Drosophila melanogaster: one gene and its partner. The protein of the gene in region 2 interacts with the protein of the main gene of each other region in a pairwise test. Each region holds a gene or a part of one and is shown on either strand. Other genes may lie near its edges.

Region 1 (7,808 bases), 4.0 Mb from region 2:
AAATTAGTGGCGAGCTGGCGGTCGAATTCTGGGCAGCAGTGGCCGTCAGCTTTGATACCTCTGCCAGTAGGGAGTCATTGATGACGGTGTTGTTGTGCGTCTGATTGCGAATGCGTTTGATAATGTACTCGATTAGTTCGTGATCCGGTGCCAGTTCTATGCTGGTCCCTGGTCCTGATCCCGAGCCAGAGGCTTGTTCTAGTTTTCCCTCGAGGATTTGCTGGTAAGGAAGACGCAATTATGAGTTAATCGATCCAGTTTACGAAAGCCTTTCTTACCTCTTCGTTCTCGGTCCTAAGAGAAGAGATAACAGCAGAAGCACTGTCCTCCATTTCATCCAGGTGCTGCCCGTTCTGTGGATTGGACAAACTTAGCTGCTTCACTGGCGTTCCTTTTTCGTCCTCGGGCCGATCGTTGTCTAGCTGCAGACGCATTACCTCTAGCGGGGTTTCACTGCGACTCTCGGTGGCCTCGGCGTCGCCAGTAGGTTCGTTCTCCTCCTGGTTAAGAGCCTTTCGCAAGCCGTGTGGTTCATGTGAGTGCTGCAGCTGCTGATTTTGTTGCTGTTGTTGTTGCTGCTGCTGCTGCTGCTGCTCGAAGAGTGTCTCCAGCCGGCGGTAGACATCCTCCTTGATTGATTCATAAAACTTTGTGGTGAACTTGTCGTTCTTCAGAGCGTTAACCAGCAGATTTCGATTCAGTTCCTCGGAGGCCGTTTCCTCGGTTTGCTCCATGGCATTTGATTCGTCCGCGGGCGATGCTTCTTGTCCGAGCGTAGGAGTAGTGTCCACTGGAGTAATCTGGGGTAGCTCGATGTAGTCCATGTAGTGAGCTGGAAGTTCGAAGTCGAAACGAAGATGTCGCTGCTGCAGAGGAGTAAGCGACACAGTCGAAGTGGTGGGCTTTGCTGGTACCTTGTTCCGCTGATACAGCGGACTGTTGCCATAGTTTACGTTCATGTTGAGATTGGAGGAGCTAGCCTGCTCGGACTCATCATCCCGCAGCGTGGAAAGCTGAGGACGGCGACGATTGCGACGTCGACCCGAGCCGAATATGACGTTATCATGGTTCTCCTCCACCTCGTCCACATCCTCATCGTCGTGGTCGCGAATGTGGCCTGCATCATCGCGCCAGTCCCTTTTTCTGCCCGAACTGCCGCTGTTGTTGAGATTATTGCTGCCATTGGAGCTGCTGCCATGCAAAGCGGTTAGTGGCGCCTCGAAAAAGTGACGACGCTGCTGCTGGTGGGTCAAACCACCACGCGTAGTAGGCGGAAGCAACTGGGGCGGCTGAAAGTAGCTGGGACGTGCCCGTTGTCGCCGATACTGCTGGAGGTCCACGTTCAGCTCCTCGTTGCTTTTATTTGATAAGAGATTTTGGCGCGAATGGCTGGAAGAGCGTACAGATATTAATGGGTTAATGCAAGCGGGTAGCAAAGAATCATGCAGTTGATAAACTAGCTAAATCTAGTGAGCGTTACTAAGTTAAGTTTTTCTATTCCATATATCCTTTTTAAATTGAATACACATCTTTTATAAATTAGCTTTGTTTACTGCCGAATAGGCACTTGCAAAACTTGGTCAGTACTTGGAGTTAGTCTTGGTTAGTCACTTTCAACTCTGTTAATGGGACACTTATCTGCAACGCGTGGTCGCACTTACCGGTGCACAGAATTGAAAATTAACTCTTCACAATAGTTTTATTTAATTTTTATTGCTTTTGACCCTTTTCCATCAAACAACCATTAATAAATCCAACACCAAAGTTATAAAGCATTACCTGCGGAAGTTGTCCCAGTAGTTGTTGGCTCTGTTTCCGGGTGGTACTTGATTGTTCAATGTAATACCGCCACCAGGTGCTCCTCCACCAGCTGCTCCCTCGGGCAGCGAGTGCAGATTGTTGGCATGCTGGTTCTGGGTTCGCAGATTCGAGTTGTTCTGATGTATCGTGTTGTTATGGTGGTTCATGAAGATGGGACCTGGACTTGAGCGGTAAGTAGGCGGCGACAGGGGTGTCTCGTTGTTGAAGTGCGTCGGCGGTGGCGGGGGAGCAGCATTGTTAAGGAACGGCTGCGCCTGATGCTGCTGCTGTTGATGATGATGCGATTCTGCCCCGCTACGATGACAGCTGCGCTGATAGTTACTAAAGGCGCTCTGGTGGGCACCAAAGTTAAATAGCTGCTCAGATTGAGCTCGACTGCTGCCCAGGCACAGATTGTTGGGCATCTGACCCATTCCAGGGCCCACCGGAGGCGGTACTGATTCCGAGCGCAAGCCGAAGCTGTGATCCTGGCATGCTACAACATTAAATCGATCCTGGAGCTGTGAAAAAACACTTGAATTAGTCTTTGATTAGGCTCTCTAATCTCATGGATTGTCTTACCGCATGTAGCTGGTGGTTGAGGTTGTCGATTTCGCGCTGTTGATGCCACAGTGCCTGGTTGCACTGGCACACAGAGTTGATAAGCATTTGCTGCGTCTGCATGAACTGCTGCAGCAGAACTGCGTCGGTAGAGGCATTCGATCCGGATCCATTTGAGGAGCCCCCTTGTTGGGCGGCTGGCAGCTTTTTAAACTCTGTGCCGGCACTGGAGCTCGGCTGACCGTAGACGGGCTGCTGTCCATGCCACGAACTTCCAGAGTTGTGTGATGCTGCTAGCGGATGCATAAAAATAAGCGTAAAACGAGGAAACTAATACATGAATTCAAGTTGGTAAAGTAAAGTTGGTAAATTTCCGCCTTTGTTGGTGGAATTAAAAACGTACCCCACATTCCAGGCACTGGTTGCATGGGGGGCGGCATGTACTGCGATCTATTGCTGCTGGATGGTATGCTGTCATTACCCAGGGATAGCGTATCAAGTGTCACATTCAGGTCATCTTCGTTTAGCGTCGACGGAGGAGCAGGCGGCGGTGGTGGTGGTGCCTGCTGTGGGGGAACGTTAGGTTGCTGACCTCGTCGTTGCTCCACCACTGTGTTGGCGGATGGAGCCCTCTTTAGGGTCGCTGAGGAAGCGGTACGTACGTTGGCGAAGTACTTATCGCTGTCAGTGTCGTCGTTTGCCTCGTCATCCGCCTCCGATGTGGTGTTGTTACTGGCTACGTAACGCTGCTCCAGTTCCCGCTGCTTCTGCTCGTATTCCGTTCGCAGGCGCTCGCACTGCGAGCGCAGTTCATCGCGCAGTTGTTCCTTGGTGGGCGTAGCCTGAAGAGAATTATCCACTTCGGATGGATCCTCTTCCTCGGTCATCCGCTGTCTCATGGGGGTGGGTGTTGGGGTAAGACTGCTTCTTTTAAGTGCATCATCGCCCATTTGAACAGCGGCGGCCGCCTGTTGTTTGCGTCGCTCAATCTCTGCCTTCAGGGCTAGGATACGGTCACGCTCCTTTTGCAAGCTTGCTGCTTCCGCTCTCAGTTCGCTCGTAACATCGTTCAGAGCGAATACGCGCTGGGCAATCTCGGCCGGCAATTCGCGCTCCACGCTAGTTCTTTCCTCACTACGCCGCTCTAAGGTGGAGCCCATGCTGGGAGTACTTTCTTCAATCTGGCTAACAGTGTACAGCATTCCCTTTAGTCTCGCCATCTGAGCCTTGAGTGCTTCTATATCTGCCGTCTTCTGGTTGATCATTGCCTGTGCGTGAAGTGCCCGTTGAGCAGCGTTGGCCGCCTCCTGGCGTATGATGGGTACGTTTCTCTGATACTCCACAGGAACAACACGCTCCTTGGGAGCCGCTGGGGCAGCCTCCTCTGGCTTGGGAGGAGGCGTGGGAGTCTCCTCTTTCTCTTTGATGACTCTAGCAGTCTCCCTGGCCGCACGGTTGATGCTGTTTAGTTCGTCCACCAGATTGCGCATATCCTCACGTTGGGTGCGCAGTGATTCCAGTTTCTCCTGCAGGGCTTCCTGCTCGGCCAGGATCTCGGGCCCATCATCGCCAAGCACCGTGCTCAGTTCGTTCTGGTTGTGTATAAAGGCGGTGAGATTCTTCATGCGCCCCACCAGCGACGCCATGTCGTCCTGTACCTGCTGCACGGACTCGTATTTGGGGGCCTCTCCCCCATTGACATTGTGGGGTAAGCTATCGGCTTGCTGGCGCAGCCGCTCCATCTCGTTAAGGTGAGTCTTGGCCAAATTTTGGATTTGTAACAGCTTCGCCTGTTCGTCGTGCAGGTGCTGCATGTTCCTATTGGAGGCTTCCAAGCGCTGCTGCAACTCATCGAAGCTGGGCGTGGTATCGGGCGTGGGCGTTTCCAAGACGCTGTGTAGGGACTGAATGGATTGGGCGCGGTTGTCGCTCATCTGAAAGGTACAAATGGTTTGAGTACTAGAAGGCAGACTTTTGGTTTTATTAACCAACTAACCTCGCTTAATGCAACATCCTCCAAGCTGGTCGAATTGACTACGCCTTCACCCTGATCCGAATTTGGGTTGATTTCGTGCACCATGTTGTTCGTCTGGGGCAAGAATTAAAGGATTTAGTTTCATTTATTATTACGATATAAAAAATGTTATTATCAATCTTATAAATGTTATAAATGTACGGCTCACTTGAAGTTCCTGACACAAGCTTTCAAACTCACCTCTACAACTTTCCTACTCGGTTGATATCTGCTATTCAGGTTCTCGTCTAATCCTAGCAGGGCGCGTAACACGTCAACCTGCGAGCGAAAACCTTCGGTTCTGGGAGCAAAATGGTGTACACCAAGAAGTCGGTGAACGAGTTGTTGCAGTCCAGCGGGGGTCAGTGGCGGTGCCTGCTCCTCGTTGCCACTCAAATTGCCGTTTCCGTTGCTGGTAGTTGCGTTCGGTATGACCACACCTACTGTGGCATTCGGAGGCGTCGATTGACGCAAACGCAGCAAAGCCGTCGAAGATGAGGGGGCGCCTGTGCTATTAGCTGACGAGGATGGCTGGTGCTGAACCCTCTGGACAGGACGGACGGGGAATCGATAGCGCTGCTGCTGTTCCTGCAGTTGCTCTGTAATGGAAAATAGCCAAAGATCAGTATGGATGTTTAGGTCCATTGCTAAATACTGCGCTGCGAACTACATCATCTCAGTGGGCGTTTATTTTCGTGCGCATCTTATTTATAGAACATGAACTGGCGCACCGATCTCTGTGTGGGCCAGGCCGATCACTTTGCCAGGTGCGGATATTGGAAATTGCTCAATTAAATGTGTATATTCCTCAACGGTTTCAGGACCCATTACCTGCTGTATCGTAGTTGCCGTGTTCGGCGGCCAACTGACGCAGTGCCTCGCGCTGCTGTTGCTGTTGTGCAGGCGACCTGTGATCCTTGCTAGACAGATGCTGCTCCGCCGGCGATCGATTCTTGGCGTTGGTGATGCGTGCTCGCTGGAGGAGATCCTTTAAGCAACAGTAAATGAAGATTAGCAGGAAAACCAGCACGAGGATTGCGGTAATTTTGCTGATTTTAGGTCTATATATATATATCTATTTCAGATATATATATATATATGTATAAGGGCGCTGCTCTGGCCGATCGAAATTCGTTGTCCGCAGTGGTTGAGTTCGCATTCGCTACTGAGCCAGCGGCTAACGAATTTCCGCAGGTCGCGATGAGTGTAAAGTGTATTTATAAAACCAAGAAGAGAAAGGTCTTGGTGTCTTCTCTTCGAGAAGATTTGCCATGGCAACCAGACGTCCGTCTAACTTACATTCAGAGTTTTCAGCGTCTCCCGCTGCAGCGTCTCTGGCTCGACAAGTTCCATGTCCGGTTCGCCCAGGTGCTCCTGCTGCCGGCGAGAGCGGGCCGACCGGCTGGATGTCACAGATGCACTCGACCCGGACGTGGGTGCTCCGTTTACAGGCGTTTGTTGTTTAGGCACCGCACCGGTTGCCCCGCCCACCGAGTTGTTGTTGCTGCTGCCATTGCTGCGGGCGCTGGCGTTGGCTTGGTCCACAACTACCTTGGGCGGCGGCGCCATTAGAAAATATATATATATATATTTGCGTACAAAAAACGACGCTACAAAATTGAAAAAACTCCTCTTTTTTGTACTCCCACTTTGTTTTTTTGCTTTGCGCACTCTGACAGCTGTTCCCAACCAGGGCTGGAAGCTAGTTAACAAGCCTACCAAGTTATGGTCACACTGGCAGCGGACGTTTTTTGAAATCGAATGTTTTCTAAAATTCAAAAATAAATATTATTTTTAGTTTAAAATAAAATGTATATCTGTAAAAAGTATTTTAAATGCTTTTGGTGTAGATAAACTAACGTTACTTGGTAATTTGATATCTTTTAAGGATAATTATTTATTTGGAGATTACTTTATAATATGTTCCTTGGATAATAAACATTATATGACTAGAGCCATTTTCCCTTTCAAGTTTGGACGTGCCTACTTTCCCTGCTTGCGCTGGATGATGTCCTCCTTGAGCGCACGAATCCGATCCCTCTCCGCCCGGAGTCCCACCGCTTGACCGCGTAGATCACTGGTGAAGTCCGTGAACATGTTAAGCATGGAATTCAGGAGCTCGGCGTTATCGGGAGCACTCGACGAGGTCGATGGATTCTCTTCTTGGGCACTCTCTACGGCCTCGCTGGCCACTCGGACTTCTGACGAGGTGGTCTGCCTGCTGGTCTGAACGGAGGTGGAGCTCTGGACCTGTACCGTTTGCCTGGAGGACATGTGCTCCTCGATCATCTTGGTGGTGTCCACCATGTTCTGCACGCGCTTAAACTGCGCCTTCAGGTTGGCGATCTCGTTTAGCTTCTCCTGCAGATAACTGGCCTGCTCCTCTTTGTCCTCCCCGCCCTCTTCCTCACCAGATGGTGCCTCTTCCCGGTTTGTGAACTCTCCAGAAGCACTGGCGGATGAAGCAACTGTTACTGTCTCCGATGAGGATTCAACGTGGGACTGAACCTCCTCCTCCTCGGTGGACTGCCGCACTTGTCGGCGCTGGGCATTCAGAAGGGTCAGCTCAGCGGCTCGTAAGCGCAGTGTCTCCATCTCCTCAAGCAACTGGCGGTGCTCCTCCTGCATCTCTTGCAGCTGTCTGTTGGAAGCAGCTAGGCGCTTAAAAAATACAAATAATTAGTTTTGAAAGCTTCAATAATGAAAAAATTGGTTTAAAAACATCATAGTTCAAAGACTACATTAGGGCATCAAAAGAAAAATGATTTTGTATATTATTATTAAAAAACTCTATTTTTTAGCTCACTGGTATAGAAAAAGCTTCGTACTTAAATTTCATTTCAACTGAAACATCTAGAGACTGTAGGCTTATTGGTGTGACTCATTCATTTTGTTGTCTAAAAAGAATGTGTCACGGTATTTATTTAACTTTACTGACTGTGTTTTCTTATTGTTTTAAAACACTTAAATACTAAGAGTTTTGCAATTTCCCGAAGACTCCAGCTTACCTCGCTCAAGGCGGCATTGTCCCCATTTTGAGGCCTATTCAGTTCGTTGACCATTTTCTGGGTTCCTGAGGAGAAGAGGGAATACTTGGTGTTATGTATATCGTGCACGTTGATTATTTTCTCAATACAAACAAAGGCCCATCGCAAGGCACTGTCTATAAATAAATGGCTCTTTGTTAAATTATTTTTCAGTTAGAATAGTGTCAGTCATCTTGGCATTTTTGAAGACAAAACTAACAAGTGCACTTATGAAAATGTACACCACAATACACCACATATATTATACTTGAAAATGCTACCTTTTAATCGTATATTCGAATCCTCCGAGCGATGAGCTGTGCGCACAAAGAGATGCCCAAATTTCAACTGAAACGATGTGCCGAAAACGAAAATATTTTGAATCGTTTTCGTGTTCGTGTAGAGTT
Region 2 (5,097 bases):
ATCTCCATCTGTAGCTCGTCTTCTCACTTCTACTCGATTCGTGTTTTTGTCTGCCGCTTCTCAACCGATTTCTTCATTTTCTGCGACGTTATTACAGGTGAATTTTGTAGTTCTTTCCCAGTTTTTGTTTGTATCTTTCTTTATTTTTCTGGACTTGGGGCGCATGGCGAAAAAAAGAGCGGAATCAAAAAACAAATTAAATGAGTTTGGCTGAAATCGAAATGCTTTGGGCCATTGATCATTTATTGGTCGGCGGAGGCGATGAAGTTAAAAGGAAACAATGGAAAAATATGGGAATGGCGAGGTAGACAAAGTTAGCTCCGAAACTTTGGTTATGGGAAACACCATAAATGGGTATTTTAACCATTTAAATGAAAATTTCTGTTAATCTAATGTTTACACAATCATTAGCTTTAAGTTTAGCTGTTGCACTATATACGTATTATTGTAGTATATTTTATATACAAACCTATTAATTAAACATATTTTTTAGGTAAACCAAACATAGAAGTCAAAAATGAAATGGAAGAAGCCACAATGAAGTGAATTAATTTATTTCAAATTGTAGCACTCATTTGACTTTCTCTATGAACCTGAGCAAAATAATGTAACTTCATGAATTTTTAATTTTGCTGCGAAAAAAATAACTTCAATTCGAGAAAGAATAAAGTGATTTCTCTGTCACTTTCAGATGCGTTTCCTGCTGTGTGTTAACGTCGTTTTAAGTGTTTAATTTTGAAATCCAAAAAATAAACGGCTCTGTAAATGTGTACGTATTCAATGCGATCAAGCAAATATATATAAATGGATAATAAAAATCGGTGATAACGAACCCGATGTGGGTCAGACGGAAAAGAGTGTTTCTTGCTGGTTTCTGGCCAGAACAAACACTCATATGATTGAGGTACAAAAGTGAAACTCTGACGCTCTGAAAGTCGGTAATTCTGAGTCGATAGTTGCGGTGCGGTATAAACATTTACATTTGATTAAACAGCGTTTATTGACTGTTTTCGTTTTTGCTTTTGTTCGGCCTTAATGCATTTCGCCGATATTCGGCTTTCGTTTTGCGAGGACACAAAAAGAATGCGGGAAAAAAGCCCATCCGAACCCAACCCATCCCAACCCGGTATCTGTATCTGCATCTGTGCATCTTTATCTGTGCGTATTTATTTTGGTTTTACGGCATGTATGTAATTACCCGGGAACCGAGTAAAGCAGGCAGAAAAGACAGAGAAATGGAGTGTGTTTCGTATTCTTTGGCCGGTCTCTTCTCCGTCGCGCGTCTTATCATTATTTCCGAGTGTGTATTGTGCGCTTTCTGATTGCTCTGCCCCCTTTTAACCTTCGTATTTAAGAAATTTCTTAGCCCATTACGATTTCACTCAATACGGCGTATGATTTTTGTAGGCCTTCCAACAAAAAATTACATGTTTCACTTTCTCTGGCGCCCGAATAGTCCCCCCCTTCGAAAACAGAAAAATAACAAGAACCGCGTCGAAGAACCAAAAGATAAATGCTTAGACATCGTCTGCCCCTCTCTATTTTGTTTCGAAATATCTTTTCGGGGTTTCTGTTTTTGTTTTCCCCACATCAATCAGAGAATGCTTCGTTCTTTCCATTTCTCTTGTGGGCAAGCATTGAAAAGGGAAATTTCTTTAGCCCAATTAAATGAAAAGAAACCAAATCAGGTTATTCCATGAATTTTGAGCTTATTTCTGGTTCTGCATGTTTGTTTGGCACTGATCGTTCTCTTTGAAATTTTATTTCGCCACAAGACTTAAATGCATTATACAAAAATTGTTTTTGGGAAATACACATTTTCAAATAAACAAATTCTATATATATGCAAGTTGAAGTAATTGTTAATTGGGGTTCTAAGTAATATTCACTTAAGCAAAGCTCTTATACTCTTATACTCTATTATTGACAAACCTAAATTGCCATCCAACTCTAAGTTCTTAAGTTGTCACAAAAAGTTGTCATTTTATGAACATATACAATTTATTTATTAAAGCTGTACTTACGCTTATCGCTCCTGTTTCGCTTTCTGGTTTTGTTGAATTTTTTCATTCAGAATTTGCTACGCAATTTACGCGTTTAATTTGTTGCTGCCTCTGTTCGCCGCACTCGTTTTTCTGTTATTTCACACACAATTTTTTTTATTTAATTGCACACATAATGAACAATATTAAATGCTATATTCGTATGTTTGTGCGTTGAAGACACGCACTCAGCCAATTGAAAATTGTATTTGCGGTTGGGTTTCAATACAACAAATTTATCAAGCACTCACTGAAAATGGAATTGGCACTTTAATTTTTTGTTAAAATGGTCTGAGGATCTTAACAATGATGTATTTATTGATTAAGTGTGGTTTTAATGAACTTCAAAAACGAGATTATTTAATATGTTATTAGTTTTATTCGTTTTCGTACAAGTTTCTTTAGGTTTTTGATCAGACAAATTTGTCAACCAGTTTTTTTTTTTTTAATATTTTTATAGTGTGCGAAAATATTTGTATTGAGCGTTTAGAAATTTAATAATTTTTTTCTGTGACTTGCACGACGAAAATGTGTGGATTCAACTGGGTTCTTGGACACAGGTATCTTTCAGGGAATATTGGAGGTATTGGGAACCGAAAACGAAACCGATTCGGAGCGGAGCGGAACCGAAAAGTCGAGCGACGCGTGCACTTACAGCGACGTCTGAGCAGCAAAAACTCGAGAATAACCAAAGTGCGGCTCAATTTATACGAGGAGTCGAAAAACACAGACCAGAAGATACATTTACAGATGCAGATACAGATACGCGTTCTCTTTGTGTTAGTGTATCTCAAAGATACTTCTAACCGTCACTCTCTTACGCTCTCTCTTCGCTGTGGGGGTGGTCTGTCTCCGCTGTTATCGTTATTGCCGCTCTCTCTGCGCGCTCTGTGTGTTTTGGTTATAAAAGTGTAGTAGATTTTTGGCATTTATCTGTTTTTGTTTTATTTGCATATGTTCAATATGCACGACCCACATTGTTGTTGGTGTTGTTGTTGTTGTCTGATCGCGGCGTATAGAAATAATACGTATACACATGTGTATATATACACCGAATGTACATATTATCTCTCTCGCCCCCCACTCGCACTCACACACACACACTCTCACGCACCGCACACATACAGTTGCACCGCCTGAGTTCCGCTGCCCGTCGGCACAGTCCGCACACGGTAACAATTCGAATACGAATACGCAAAACGGTCTGGCGAACTGAAAACAGCCAAAACTTTTCGCCTGCGCCGACGTCGACGTCGGCAGCGCAGCTGTTTGGAGCTGTTGGGGCTCTGTTAGGCCCCCACGCTGTTAGGGCTCTGTTAGTTCGGCTGCTCTCTCTGTTTGTTATCAGTGGCGTGCGCTCTTTTATCAAATTGGAAAGGGGATTTTGGAGATCAGACAGATCGACCTGGGTTAAACTTTCAGCATACCGGAATATTAGAATACATTACGTTTATAAGGGAATAATTGAAGTGGTTTTGATAGAAGTACCAATTCTTTCATAGAAAGACCTTTATTTTGATTGAAATTCGACAAGTTTGACTTTCTCTTAGCTTGGCTTAGTGTTTTTTAACTTACGAATCACATGTAGTACACAATATTTATTGTTGCATATGTACAATAAAATACATTTTCTGCAAATGACTCAACCAAGATTTTTCGTCTGGGTGGGGTGGGTAATATAAAAAAGTGAAGAGAAGTGATGGATATTCTAAGTCTATGATTCGATTGATTAATTTCTTATTATGAGCTATACATTATTTTCACTAAGGCATGAGGAACAGCTTAAAGCCTGAAAGTTTTGCATTTCAAAGAAAAGTGTTTATGATGAGGAATTTTGGTGGTTTAATGTTCGTTACATTAATGCTCGTTACATTTTAGTTAGTTCCAGCGAAGTACTAAAAAGGAATACTTTTTGCAAAACGTGCTAAATAGTTTCTATAAGTTGCTTTGTGTGTTTACCAAGTGATTTTTGCGATTAAGGGTTATCTCTTAGGTTATGCATCTGCTGTCTGTCGGTGCAACTGACTTTACAATATAGTCTACAGTCTTGGAGGCTAATGGAATTCAGTTTGCGAAATTCCTCGAGTAACTCTCTGGTCGCCTATTAATATTCATATGTGCAAAGTACGTATCAATTGCATATTCGGCGCAAGGTCGTCTGCCAAGCGGCCAGATAGATAGGCAAACTGTCAGATACGCGTACTCATGCAAAGTCTGTGCGCAATAATCAAGCAAATTGAGTGCAACGCAGGCGATGGCGCAGCCGTATCTATTGGCTACTCTTTTGGCAAACTCCCATCGATATCGGCTCGATTCGCAGCTAGACGGCTAATTACGTGACATGTTAGACGCGAAAACAAGTTAAACACGCTCGTTCGATTTGTGTAATTAATTGCAGGCCGAGACGAGCGAGAGCTCAAAAACAAATTCACCTCGAAATGTGCATTGAACTTTTGCGGTTGCTTTTCTCGCCGCCGCCGGATGAATGTTGTTTTCCCTTTTCGGTGGCTCGCTTTTTTTGTAACCAATTCTAGTTGCAATCCGCTGCTGATAACCCGCAGATGAACCCATGGGTGTTGGAGCTTCCACATTGAAGGGGGTTACGCATTCTGAGTGGGCTTGTTGGTGGGTGGGATGGGGCACGAGCAGCTGATGCAGCTGATGTGTGTGTGTCAATGTTTCAGCTTGTAAACAAACGGCAAGCAAATAATGACAAAGTCGACAACGAAACTCCAAAAGTGTTCCTTATTGTTTGTTGTATTGACTACATCGCTGGGCTTATCGCTAACCGTTGTCAGATGGAATAAACATTCACATTTATATGTGTTGCACACAATGTGGTGTGGTATGTATGTGCAGTGGGGCTTCCTTATGACGAACTTGTATATTACATATATTCCTATAAATATTAGGTATTTTTATTGCTAATAAAATAAAAAGTAGAAAAAGCAAAAGCTTGCCATACAATTACTTTTACTAATTCTTATTTCTTTAAGCGATTTCCCTAATTGTTGTTAATTTTTAATGAGCTTGATATTTTACTACTGAAAGGGGA

The links.
Region 1: the proteins of Oatp74D (region 2) and cmb interact in a two-hybrid assay, tested with the Drosophila melanogaster proteins (one large-scale study listed by BioGRID).

Annotation. Positions count from the first base shown.
Region 1 is NT_037436.4:13,440,855-13,448,662, reverse strand, and holds the start of cmb (combover), read right to left. Parts: upstream 6,070-7,808; 5' UTR 5,945-6,069; coding exon 5,675-5,944; intron 5,545-5,674; exon of another isoform or gene 5,364-5,544; coding exon 5,207-5,363; intron 4,975-5,206; coding exon 4,577-4,974; intron 4,451-4,576; coding exon 4,358-4,450; intron 4,296-4,357; coding exon 2,765-4,295; intron 2,655-2,764; coding exon of another isoform or gene 2,652-2,654; coding exon 2,383-2,651; intron 2,322-2,382; coding exon 1,780-2,321; coding exon of another isoform or gene 1,776-1,779; exon of another isoform or gene 1,702-1,775; intron 1,390-1,701; coding exon 279-1,389; intron 221-278; coding exon 1-220. Other genes in the region: CG14109 (uncharacterized protein), read right to left, coding at 6,359-7,036, 7,384-7,437.
Region 2 is NT_037436.4:17,485,260-17,490,356, reverse strand, and holds the start of Oatp74D (organic anion transporting polypeptide 74D), read right to left. Parts: upstream 3,240-5,097; 5' UTR 3,168-3,239; exon of another isoform or gene 3,157-3,167; intron 2,724-3,156; exon of another isoform or gene 2,293-2,723; 5' UTR 2,025-2,292; intron 1-2,024. UniProt on the Drosophila melanogaster protein: Transporter that mediates the cellular uptake of ecdysteroids, including ecdysone, from the hemolymph.